Drosophila melanogaster: one gene and its partner. The protein of the gene in region 1 purifies or fractionates together with the protein of each later gene. This does not show direct contact. Each region holds a gene or a part of one and is shown on either strand. Other genes may lie near its edges.

What was found. Proteins that work in one complex are often made in the same cells at the same time.
Region 2: the proteins of Hexim (region 1) and Larp7 purify together in Drosophila melanogaster (affinity purification with western blotting; 2 studies listed by BioGRID, with this or other methods). This does not show direct contact.

What each region holds. Positions count from the first base shown.
Region 1 is NT_033777.3:14,656,933-14,662,649, forward strand, and holds Hexim (hexamethylene bisacetamide inducible), read left to right. Parts: upstream 1-2,505; 5' UTR 2,506-2,628; coding exon 2,629-2,683; intron 2,684-2,811; coding exon 2,812-3,378; intron 3,379-3,442; coding exon 3,443-3,903; 3' UTR 3,904-4,245; downstream 4,246-5,717. Other genes in the region: CG3505 (uncharacterized protein), read left to right, coding at 566-623, 712-890, 1,328-1,475, 1,548-2,245; Rad17, read right to left, coding at 4,411-4,871, 4,930-5,384, 5,471-5,717.
Region 2 is NC_004354.4:9,241,421-9,247,559, reverse strand, and holds Larp7 (La related protein 7), read right to left. Parts: upstream 3,744-6,139; 5' UTR 3,685-3,743; coding exon 3,414-3,684; intron 3,354-3,413; coding exon 1,837-3,353; 3' UTR 1,635-1,836; downstream 1-1,634. Other genes in the region: amx (almondex), read left to right, coding at 499-1,353; mxc (multi sex combs), read left to right, coding at 4,356-4,401, 4,460-4,627, 4,691-4,865, 4,935-5,235, 5,340-6,139.

The DNA.
Region 1 (5,717 bases):
ACTAGCTGACCAAGGCAACTCTGCGATCTCGTCCACCTGGGCACACTAGTTGGCGGTCATCGTGTAGTCATTCAATTTCCGACTTCAAACATCCTTCATCAGCCTGCAAGCGAGTTCCGACAAATTTTCAACCCGGTCATGGTTAATTCACACCACAACTAAACGCCGAGATGCCGAACATATGAGAGGCTCGACTTAAGATGTTCGGCATTCGAATTTCTAACGTCTCCAAATGGGAGACTTTTAAAATCACGATCAGTATATCAGTATTAGCTTGTGAGCTTATTCCACAAATAAAATATTAATTACTAGATCTCATCTAAGCGTAACACGCTGAAATCTCGACAACTCATTGTAAGTGAATATGCCGTAGTGCAGGGCATTAAAAGCTCTACAAAGCCCCCCAGTTACACAACTACGATTATGTTATCTGAACCCGGTCCGAAAGCGACTCTCTGGTAATTCACAGGCACCGGCCGAACTTAATGTTAATCTCAGACTCAGCTTCGATCGCAGTCTCATTCGTTCCGCTCAGCTGTATCGTATCTGATCGATCCGGTCCGGCATGGGAAGTTTTCCAGCTCTACTTGTTGTTGTCGGCTCGCTGGCATTGGGCGCGAATGGTGAGTGTGTACGGAATACGGGATCGTAAACAAGTCTGGCTGTGAACTTAAGTTAACGTGGGACGATCCCCGATCTCCGATATTCCAGCTCAACTCCCGCCCATCAATTGTGTTGCAAAAATTCCGAGTGGCCGTGTCACCGGTCACTGCATTTCGATCCGGGAGTGTGACTACTTCATGAGAATCCTGCTATCCGGCAATCTCAGCCAGAGCGATCGCAACCTGCTCCGTGATAATCAGTGCGGAGTGCGGGGCAACGACGTCCAGGTGGGTGATTCACCACAGTATCTCTCCCTACCCAATTGAACTCGAACTTCCACAACTTGATCCATTAAGCGCTACTAAATAAAACAAGCTCGATTATATTGGGCCTGTTCTGGTTTTCACTTTCACTGCCCAGCTTCATTTTTTTGGAATTTTATAAACGCTTGCGTTCTTATCATTTTCTACAGATAAGAACTTGTAAACGATTTGAATAGGGAAATACACCACATTTTGATAATACGAATGGTTTCAAATGAGATATCATTCTCCTTTTAAATATTTTAATTACTTCCATTGTTAATGTTAAGGAAACTTTTTGTAAAAATAAGTGACCTCAAACTGTATCATAAAAAAAAACTCGTTATTCGAGTACGCTTTTGGGAGTTCCTCGTAAAAGAGATATACTTTATAATATAATGATAAAGCCACTGTTTTTCTAGGTATGCTGTCCTAGTACCGCCGGCTTGGGTGCCCTGACCCACCCACTTTTGCCCTCGGATTGCGGAAAGGTTCGTTGGCAGCGTTCGAATGACACAGATACGCGAATCCGGGAGTTTCCCTGGCTGGCCCTCATTGAGTATACGCGCGGTGAGTTGCCGGTTTTGGTAATATATGTATATGTAGGTCACAGTATTAATCCCCACCTTTTTTACTCCGCAGGCAACCAGGAGAAGATCCATGCGTGTGGCGGTGTGCTTATCAGTGATCGGTATGTGCTAACTGCTGCCCATTGTGTGGCCCAGGCGGCGACTAGCAATCTGCAGATTACTGCTGTCCGGTTGGGTGAATGGGACACTAGCACGAATCCCGACTGTCAGTACCATGAGGATAGTAAAGTGGCGGATTGCGCGCCTCCCTACCAGGACATAGCCATCGAGGAGTTGCTTCCACATCCGCTCTACAATCGCACCGACAGGACGCAGATCAACGACATTGCCCTCGTCCGACTGGCAAGTCCTGCCAAGCTCAACGACTTTGTGCAACCCATTTGCCTGCCCAACAAGCAGCTGCGAGCGGACGAGCTGGAGGACCTGGTCACCGAGGTGGCCGGATGGCAGGCTAGTTCCTCGCAAAGGATGCGAAAAGGTTATGTGACCATTAGTTCGATTGAGGAGTGTCAAAGGAAGTACGCCAGCCAGCAGTTGCGCATCCAAGCCTCGAAGCTCTGTGGCCTGACCAATTCCCAGGAGTGCTACGGCAACGCTGGTGGACCACTGATGCTGTTCAAGAACGATGGCTATCTGCTCGGTGGACTGGTGTCGTTCGGACCCGTTCCCTGCCCCAATCCCGACTGGCCGGATGTCTACACCAGGGTGGCGTCCTACATCGATTGGATTCACGACAGTCTCAAAGCATAGATTGAAGTAAATACTTGGTACAACAAAATGTTCAGTAAAACAAACTAAAATAATAACTAAATCTTTTGATTCAGAAACAATATTTCAATAACTTACCTTGTGGGTAACAAAGTAGAAAGATTGTCTTTAAAATATGGAGATTTTCTTATTTATTTTGAAATTGGCGCCTAATATTATTCAATGTGATAGCAATTGGGGTATTTTTGGTCGCGTTAGGCGGAGAACTTTATGTGGGACTCCGGCGTCAGCACCTGGTTACACTTCAATCGAGTTTTAGTTCGCTTAGTATAAAAATCGCAAACCTACAAATCGGCAACAAATCTCCAGTTATAGCTTAAAGTGTTAATTAAGTGCTTAATAAATTAAGTATTTGTGTTGGCAACATGGCTGAAGCTGTAAAAAATGGTAAAAATCGTCACTCGGGGAGCGCTGAAAAAGGCAAGCGACAAATGGCGACTGTCTTATTGGATTGTTTTTTTCTTTCCTTTGCCCCTGCAGTGGGCAGAGTTGCATTTTCGAGTATTTTGGCGGTTCAAATTTGAATTTGGTCCTCTTGCTCTTTCCAGAAAGTGGCTCCCAACAACGACCTTTGGATAGCGGCGGAGGAGGGGGCGCCAGTGGCGGAGGCGGTGTCGCTGTAGGAGGCGGCTCGGGAATGCCGAAGAGGAAACATCGGCGGGGAAAAAAATCCAAGATGCAGCCCAAGAAGACCAAGAACCATTATCCGCAGTGGAAACTCGATATGTCAACGGGTGCAGGAGCAACGCTGGAGGGGAATCAACGACAGAATAGCAGAACCAAGCTGGTTCGTTCGCGCTCCTTGCTCGTTCCGTACAACACGAACCGCTTCCTAATGGAGGAACACATGTCGGAGCTGCACAAAGATGACTCCGACGACAACTGTTTTGGCTCCCAGACCGAAGATCAGGTGCTCTTCCTTTCCAAGGAGTTCTCCGATGTCTACGAGCGAGCGCGGCTCGAACGTTTGGAGACGATGAGCAAGCAGGAGCTCATCCAGGAGTGCATGCAAATCGAAGATCGATATTCGAAGGCCCAGAACATATCCAAGGAGTTTGGAGCCAAATTACGAGCGCAGGATGATAAGATTCGCCAACTATCACGTGAGAATCAATGTATGCGATGTCTTTAATAATTTGAAAAACCAGGAAAATTTATAACTTGTGCCTTTTATTCCAGTTCTGCGCACCCACCTCTTGCGCACGTGTTCCGCGACAGCTGGACCAGCGGCAGCAGCAGCGGCCGCAGCTTCCCCGCCCTCAGCGGTGGCGCCCACTCCCAGTTCAGCTTGCGAGCTGCAGGCTAGACAACAGCCTCCCCAGCAGCCACAACCCACACCCATGGACTCCACCAGCGAGGACAGCGAAAGCGACAGCAGCAGCACCACGTCGAGCACCACGTCCACCACTTCCTCGACCAGCAGCGATGGTCACGAAATGGGCGTGGCCGGCCTGAACATAGCCAATGGGCATGCCGAGCGGCACGAGAGGAGCCGCACCCGCTCCAGGTCTAGATCACCGATCCACCTGAATGGTCATGCCAACGAGGAGGAGCGTCAGCGCCTGCTAGATGGAAATCAAATGGAGGAGGACGACAACTCCAGCGATGTATCCAGGCCAGCCGATGCAGTTGTCAAATAGAATAAAATAGAAGAGTATGTCACTCCGCCGTGTGTAAATAAAAGACTCAATTGTGGTAGAATGTGGCGATAAATGGACATAATCCTTGTTTAGTTTTTAAGTCATCTGTGGACGCCTAAATTGTGAGGAGTTCCTTTCAATCATCAAATAGCTCATCAAAAAGCATTCATCAGAAAGAATTAGCATTACTTTATTATCTGCAAACGACGCCTCCCAATTGTATTTTTGTTGGTCTGTATGGTGTATAGTTTAGCGGTGTTGCCTCGAAGTGTTGATTTTAATGGAACTTTGTATAATGAAAAATCGATTTGTAGATAAATAAAGAGTTAAAACATGAATTCGAATAACTACCGCTATTCATTTTCTTACGGTGGGATGCGCAGTACATTTAATTTATATAATAAACTGGGTTTTGCGATTGTTAGATATCATATTTGGTCCTAGGGACATTTTTTAAAAACTTCCTTGCTACTTTAGTTTTAACATCAGATAAATAGTTTTGATTTACTAAAAGTCTTGTTTTGAGTCTGTGCTTTGGCTTGAAGTAGTATCCACAGGCTTGCCTGCTATTAACTTAACTAATGAGCTGTACTCCGTGGCGTAGAGCGTCCTGGCAATGCCCGCGTAGCCCACACCCACCAGTCTTTGTTCGGCCAAAGTTGCCTGTGGCTGTATATTGATTCGCTTGGGTCCTCGAACAGGCATCCATCCGCTGACAGGGCACGTATTGGACATCATAACTCCTCGTATGGCAACGTTTAAGCCCATCACAGACAAATTATCATCTCTGTACTCGTTGAGCATGCAATCTGATAGGCCCAAGTCATTTATGGCGGTCACGACATCATCGATTTCCTTAAAATGCGGCAGATAGTTGGCATATACAAAATTCACAAAATTCCTGGGCTCTGTATTAAAGGCTTCGGTTATTTCCTCCGGGCTGTGTAACATAGTTTTGTCCTCATTAACTGATGAGATCCAAGATTTGAATGAGTATTTTTACAGAGAATGTTTCGTGGGACTTACACTTAGGATTTAATACTCTTCCAAGTGCGTGCATCAGAGTAATTGATTCATCTCTACCAATTGACTTTAAAGTACTTTGCATTTTCTTCTTACGACCTTTTGCGGACACACTGACATTTAGCTGTTTGGTCGGCATGCTGGAAACTCCCTTTAAAGAGCTCAAATGTAAATTAATTAACGCATTTCTTATGTCGCCCTGGGCACCGACAACTATTGAGTCAACAACAGCGGTCGAGGGCACCTTGTAAGTAGCTTTATTCTGCTGCATTACGGAGCAGAAGGTTTTCATTGACTTTTGCATGATTGTAGATGCAATAGCATTGAAACTGATGTGCTCGATGCGATGTTTGGCCTTCAGTTGGTCTGGAAAGAGGCGGTAGCTGATATTCAATCCTCGAGATTTGGCATCGGCAACGATGAACACCAGGGGAGATTTGCCATACGCCGTGTACTCTCTGAAATGGAAGGAAATGAGGGTTTATTAAATTATGTTGAATCTTATAGTTGGTGTTCAATTCCATAGTCCACCGGTTTTACCTACTCTAGTAACTCTTCAAAGTTGACCTCCTTATCGCTGAGCAGGACGTTGGGAAAGTCCTCGACAAGAAGCAGTCTCTTATTTTGCGAGTCCAGCAAGGATTTGTATCGCGAGGCACGGAGCAGAAAGCTTTTAAAGGCCTCCAGATGGGAGCCCACATAGGAGGCGCCAGTCGTTTGATCACCCAAGGTGTTGACCACCTCACAATCGATAGGATTGATCCACTCCTGCAGCTGGTAGCCGAACTCCT
Region 2 (6,139 bases), on another chromosome or scaffold:
CGTTTTGTGTGTCCAGCCGCTGGTAAATTTGCACCAATTCCTCGCGTTGCGCTTAACTTTAACACACCCGAACCGAGCACACGAACAGCAAACGGATAGTTAATATTATTTTTGCAATAATCAGCCAAAATCGGCGACTTTTGGGTTTTTTTCGCAGACGGTGCGGTATGGCCAGATGTCGCGATTACCAAATACCGTTAATACACTCCTACGACTAAAGCGGCCAATGGTCACAACTTAAATGGAAAGGATATTAGGATTAGATATTACTAATTTGTTACGATGAGGGGAGAGGTATACTTATCTGTTTAGCCAATTTAATTGAGCCAAAACATATCTATAAACTATTCGATACGCTTTTTAAAGAAATTTCTCCTGAGCATTCGCGGTTGATATTTTCATGCCACGCGTATACGGTCACACTCTCCCACCCCACTCATTTTCTTAAAGGGAAAAACAATAACATTTCCGGCGTATTCCCCGCTCTATCTGACCAAAATGAGGCTCCAACGACAGTGCATTGTGGTCAACATGCGATCGGCCATTGTCCTGATCATGATCTTCGTGCTGACGGGGATCAGGAACAGCGAAACGGCCAGCGGTGGCAACCAGATGGACTTATCGGACTCAAAAGGCGATCACAAGGATAACAGCAATGCGAGCAATGGCAATGGAAATGCCAACGATAACGAGGTGTATGTGCCGCCCCTGGTGTCCAGCATGGTGGCCAAGAGTGGAGGAGGTGCCGGTGGACTCCTGGACAACATAACCGCCTACAGCAGCAGCAGCAGTAGCAGTAGCAGCAATGGGAACAACAACATGCTATGCCCGTACGATAAGGAAACGCCCTGTGATCGCCTGCAGTTTCCCTGCATCCGTTGCAACTACAATCATGGATGCATCTACGGCCGGGACTTGAATGTAACCTGCGAGGTGATCAACAATGTCCAGTGCCTGGGCGAACGGAGTTTCCAGCGACAAATGAATTGCCGATACTGCTACCAAACGGAAATGTGGCAACAGAGCTGTGGCCAGCGCTCCAGTTGCAACTCGGCGACGGATAAGCTATTCCGTACCAACTGCACCGTGCACCATGATGTGCTCTGCCTCGGCAATCGATCCTTTACCCGCAACCTGCGATGCAACTGGACGCAGGGCTATCGGTGGAGCACAGCCCTGCTGATTAGCCTCACGCTAGGGGGCTTTGGAGCCGATCGATTCTACTTGGGCCACTGGCAGGAAGGGATTGGAAAGCTGTTCAGCTTTGGCGGCCTCGGCGTCTGGACCATCATCGATGTCCTGCTCATCTCGATGCATTATTTGGGGCCAGCGGATGGCTCACTTTACATATAGTTTAGTTTTACAGGGGTTAATAGGTCATAAGCTAACTTTTCCATTACAGTGTACATAATAACGAATGCAAATATGCAACCATTAGGAATAGCAAGATCTTCTCAAAAACGTGTACATAATTAATTAGGAAATGTATTTTATTAATAATGCCAAAAGTTCTTTTTTGTATCTTTTATCTAGCACAATTCTTTGATCGTATCAATAAATAAGTGAAAGAGAAAATATAACCATCTCTTTCTCGTTCCTGTAAGATCAGACAAATTTGTAAAAATAAATGGTTTGTTTCATTCAGAAGATTTATTTCAATTTCACTAGGAAGTTTCTTTTTTAAAAATTCAATTTGTTTTTACAATATTACTCTAATATTACGAAATCTTGTGCTAGATCTAAATGTATCTTTTGCTTACATTTATAAATTTATATAGCTTATATTATAGAGTTTCCTGAAATGAAATCCAAACTCACCCCTCAACTGAAAGTGACTCAGTCCATGGCGGCCGCCTGCACTTCATCATCGCCATCATCAAACTTAATGTGCTTGCCCAGCATTTTGCCCACTTTCTCGCGACCGCGTTTTTGCTGCACGCGCACCTTTTTCGAGAGTTTCGCCTCGCGATCCTGCTCGATTTTTCGCCAATAGAGCGTCTCCTGCTGGCCAGAGAGCACTTTCAGCTGCCTCTCGGAGCAGTTGACCTGGCGTAGCAGTTCCTCGGCTGCGGCAGGCGTGCCCAAACGTAGTAGGGCCACTTGGTCGCCCTCCTTAATATCCACATATTTAATATCCGGATATTGGCGCATTTCAGCCTTAAATTCTTTAACATTGGTGCATGGTTTTAGCAGGGAGCACTCCACAATCAGCCCGGGCTCGTATTTAAAGAGCGGCGTGCGTTCCTGCGAAGGTTCTTCGGATTTGGTGGATTCCACGCCGCCGGCGCCGTAGAAATTCATGTTCATCTTGTGCACCGCCTTGCGACGCTTGGCTGGCACAGGCGCTGCTTCTACGGCACCTTCACCGCCATCGCTAGGGACCTCGCCTCCGGTTTCCTCCTCTTTAACTGCCTCGGGCAGCTGTGAAGGTTTCGGATGGTTTGGATGACTGGTCTGCTGGTGGTGAGGGTGCTGCTGATTTTGTGGGTGATTTTCTCGCCACAGCTTGCTCTTTGCCTCACTGACGATGCGACGCTGTAGATTCAAGTACTTATTGCGCATACTGCTCCAACTAGTCTTGGGTAGCACCTTGAGCTCCAGGGCACTGGGCTCAATGTTTGGCTTGTCCACGATCGCCTTCTTCTTGCGCTTGCGACGGCGCTTTTTGGCAGCTTCATCGCCATCGGTTGCCTCTGTTTTGTCCTCCTGCTCGGAGGCTTCGGCTGTGCCCTCTGCATCCGTTTCACTCGCTGTTTCCCCAGCTGTAGAGGTCTCGCTAGGCTGGCCCTCCTCCAACTTAACCCGTTTCACCTCGTGTATCTCCTCGCGATCCTTGTCGGTGGCCTCCCTTTTTAGATTTCGCTTTGGCAACTCAACCTGTTCAGCCTCTGACTGCGGCTGCTCCGCTTTCTGTTGTATCTGCTGCTGCTGCTGAAAGGAGCGCACACTGGCCAGATCACTGGGATCGGTTTCTACGGACAAAACGCCCTGTATCTGGGCAAAAGCCTTCACAGCTTTCTCCAAGGACCCGCTCTTTTCGAACTCGATAAAGGCAAATTCCTTGATCTTCTTAGTGCCCGGATAGTGGGGCAGGGACACGTAGGCCACCGGTCCGTAGCGGCTGAATACCTCCTTCAGCCAATCGTGAGTGGCATTTGCAGGCAGGGCCTCTACATACAAGGTTTTGTCGTTGACATCGCGCTGATCTGGTAGCTTGGTACGTCGCTTGACCTTTAGTTCGGTCTCATCCAGCTCCAGAAGCTGGGAGTTGCTTAGTGCCTTGGCTATCTGCTGCACATCCTGGGTGAGCGTCTTTATCTTATTGAAAGTGAGAAAGATTTCCAATGGTACATCTGTAAAAGAATAACATGATCAGTGTTATGTTGGCTGGTGAGCCAACCTTAGCTACTCACATGGATCCTGCTCTACGTAGCGCCGAAGGAAGCGATCCTTGCTCAAGTTGGCGTCACCGAAGTAGAATTCCATTTGACCGCGAATCGAATTGAACAAATGCCTCTTCCTTTTGCGTCCACCATCCTTTTTATCCGGCGATGCGTCTTCCGGCGCCGGTTCTTTGGAATTTTCCTCAGCTGGTTCAGTGGGTGCGGCTGGATCGGGTTTCTCCGCTGATGTCGCGGGCTCCTGACCCTCGCCCTTCTCCTTCTCGATACTCTTGGCAGCCATTGAGTGCCAGTTAACCAGTAATCTAAGTCACTCGAATAAAATATTGCACTTGGTTTTTGCGTTCTGATCTATTTGGCAACGCCGTCTAGTTATGAATTGCTGGGATGCCAGGTATTTGCAGCATTCCCATATCGATAGTTTAACGAATATCGGATTCTAAGTACTGTAACGTACACATAAAAACGAATTGAAGCAAGACCATCAAAGCAATAAAAACTGCTATAATTTGTTTTAAGCGAAAGAGACGTATTTCTTTGCTTTAATTATTACCATTATTTCCCACGCTCCTAATAAGGCTTGGCAGCCAAGCGCAAACAACGGGACTATATCGATAGTTCGGCGCTGTGGCAACCCTACTGCGTTGTTTTGGCGGGCGGCAAAAAAAACACAGATGCTATGCTAACCTATGTGTGTTGTACAGTGCGCCGCTAGAATCGGCAACAACAAAACGAAAATAGTCGGCGAATAGGCGAGAAAATGGTTTATTCTCTCTCGAATTAAAGCGCTGATTCAATTCCGACTAACTATTGAGTGATTAAACCTGCAACAGTCAATAATAAGGCATTACAAGTGCGTTCGATAAACCTAAAGTCTTGCAAGCGAAAAAAAAAAGAAAGGCAAGGCGAAAAGCGAGTGGATGGTGACGCTTAGCTGAGTCGGAAAGTCCAGCCATGGAGTCGATTGTCCTGCATTCGGACGTGGCTCGCTTGGTCCTGGGTAGGTTTTCCCTGGACGCTTTTCTAGCTCGCAATATTTATGCTCTTCCATTTTGTAGGCTACCTAGTCAACCAGAATCTAAAAAGGGCCGCACACACTCTGTGTCGCACATCGCCTCACCTGCGCCACGAGTTCCTGGCCCTTAAACAGGGCCTGCAGACGCACAACTTCCTTCACGGGGGTCTGGAGGAGATAATCTGCGAGCATGTCAAGATCACAAGCTTGGGTAAATTAGCACGCTCCTTGCGTTTCTTTTTTTTTGCGGCTGACCGAAAATCTCTCTTTTCAGTGGCCGGTGCCGTGCAGAAGCTGCCGCTGGATATGCGTATGCAGCTGCAGCAGATGAAGCTGTCCGAACGGGTCAGCGAACTGATAGCCGCCGGCGAGAGGAGTAGCTGTACCAATGAAAGCAGCACCCCAGGCGAGCCCACCATATCACAGTCGCATCGCAAGAGAAGGCGCTTGTAATTATAGATTTTTCCTTGACACAAGCACATCGGAATTCTCATTGCTCTCTTACCCCTTTTCCCCAGGCGCACCCATTCTCCCGTGAACAGCATTTCTTCGCCTTCGTTTAGCAAGCGACCGCGTCTGCTGCCGCCACACTTCTACTGCAGCGTTAACCGCGACAAGGTCAGGCAGAGTTTCCTAGGCAGCCAGGATGACTGCGAGGCGGAACTGGACGAAGAGGATGGCGAGAGCACAACGGCCACCGAGGACTTGGAGGAGGATGACTTACTTCCGGCGAATGGTCCTGGTCCGCGCAACAATTCCACGCCGCGCCAAGGTCATACCGAGTCCAATCCACTTCTGCTCACGCCGCAAAGCATGCCTGTAAGTCCATAGACATGCTTAATGCATATCTGCTTAATTAACCAATAGTGCATCTATTATGTATTCTAAACAAAAAACACTCTTTCGATTTACATTGATTTCAGGAACTGGCCTGCGCGATAATTAAGAATCAGGACTTCCAGGAGACGCTGGTAAAGAATATTAACGTAGCGCTGCAGACGGTGACTGTTAACAATCCGTCGGTAAGCTGTGACGCCATGTTGGATGGTCTAGTGAAGAACATACTGGAGGCCACCGAGAAGGATCCCTCGTTCGATCGCATCATACAGGAGGTGGTGATCGGGGATGAACCATTGGCAAATGAGGAGGACCCTGGTGTGTCGCCTGCCTCTGATGCTGCTGGGGCTGCTATTGTTCCCGCTGCTGATGGAGATGTGCTGCCGACAGAACAGGCCGTGGATCCCGTGCCGCCGCAAACACCGCTTATTATTCGCACCGCCGTTGCAGCCACCGCAGGAACCAATGCAGATCCCAATTTCTCCATCTCCAAGCTTATCGTACTGAACTCCAACGAGAGTGTCCAAAAAATGGTTGCTGGTTTGGATACGTCCAATATCAGCTTTACAAGCGAAGGCCTCAATATAAATTTTGCCGATCCAGCGTCAATGCTCAGCGAGGTGGAGGCGACAGCTGCTGGTCAGGTTTGTGTGGACGCCACCACCGGGCAGCTGACGTTTCCCATGTACCTCTCGAACGGTGGACTGCTGTCGCATCTTCCATTCCTGGTGAACAACGAGTGGGTAGCCCAGCAACTTGGGCCGGATGCCTTTGCCAACATTGATGACTCGCACATTGAGATATCGCTGCCGGAGCCGATTACTCTGTCTGCCAATCAGCTGCCCCCCAATTCCATTATCATTAGCAGCGCCCAGAAACAACCACC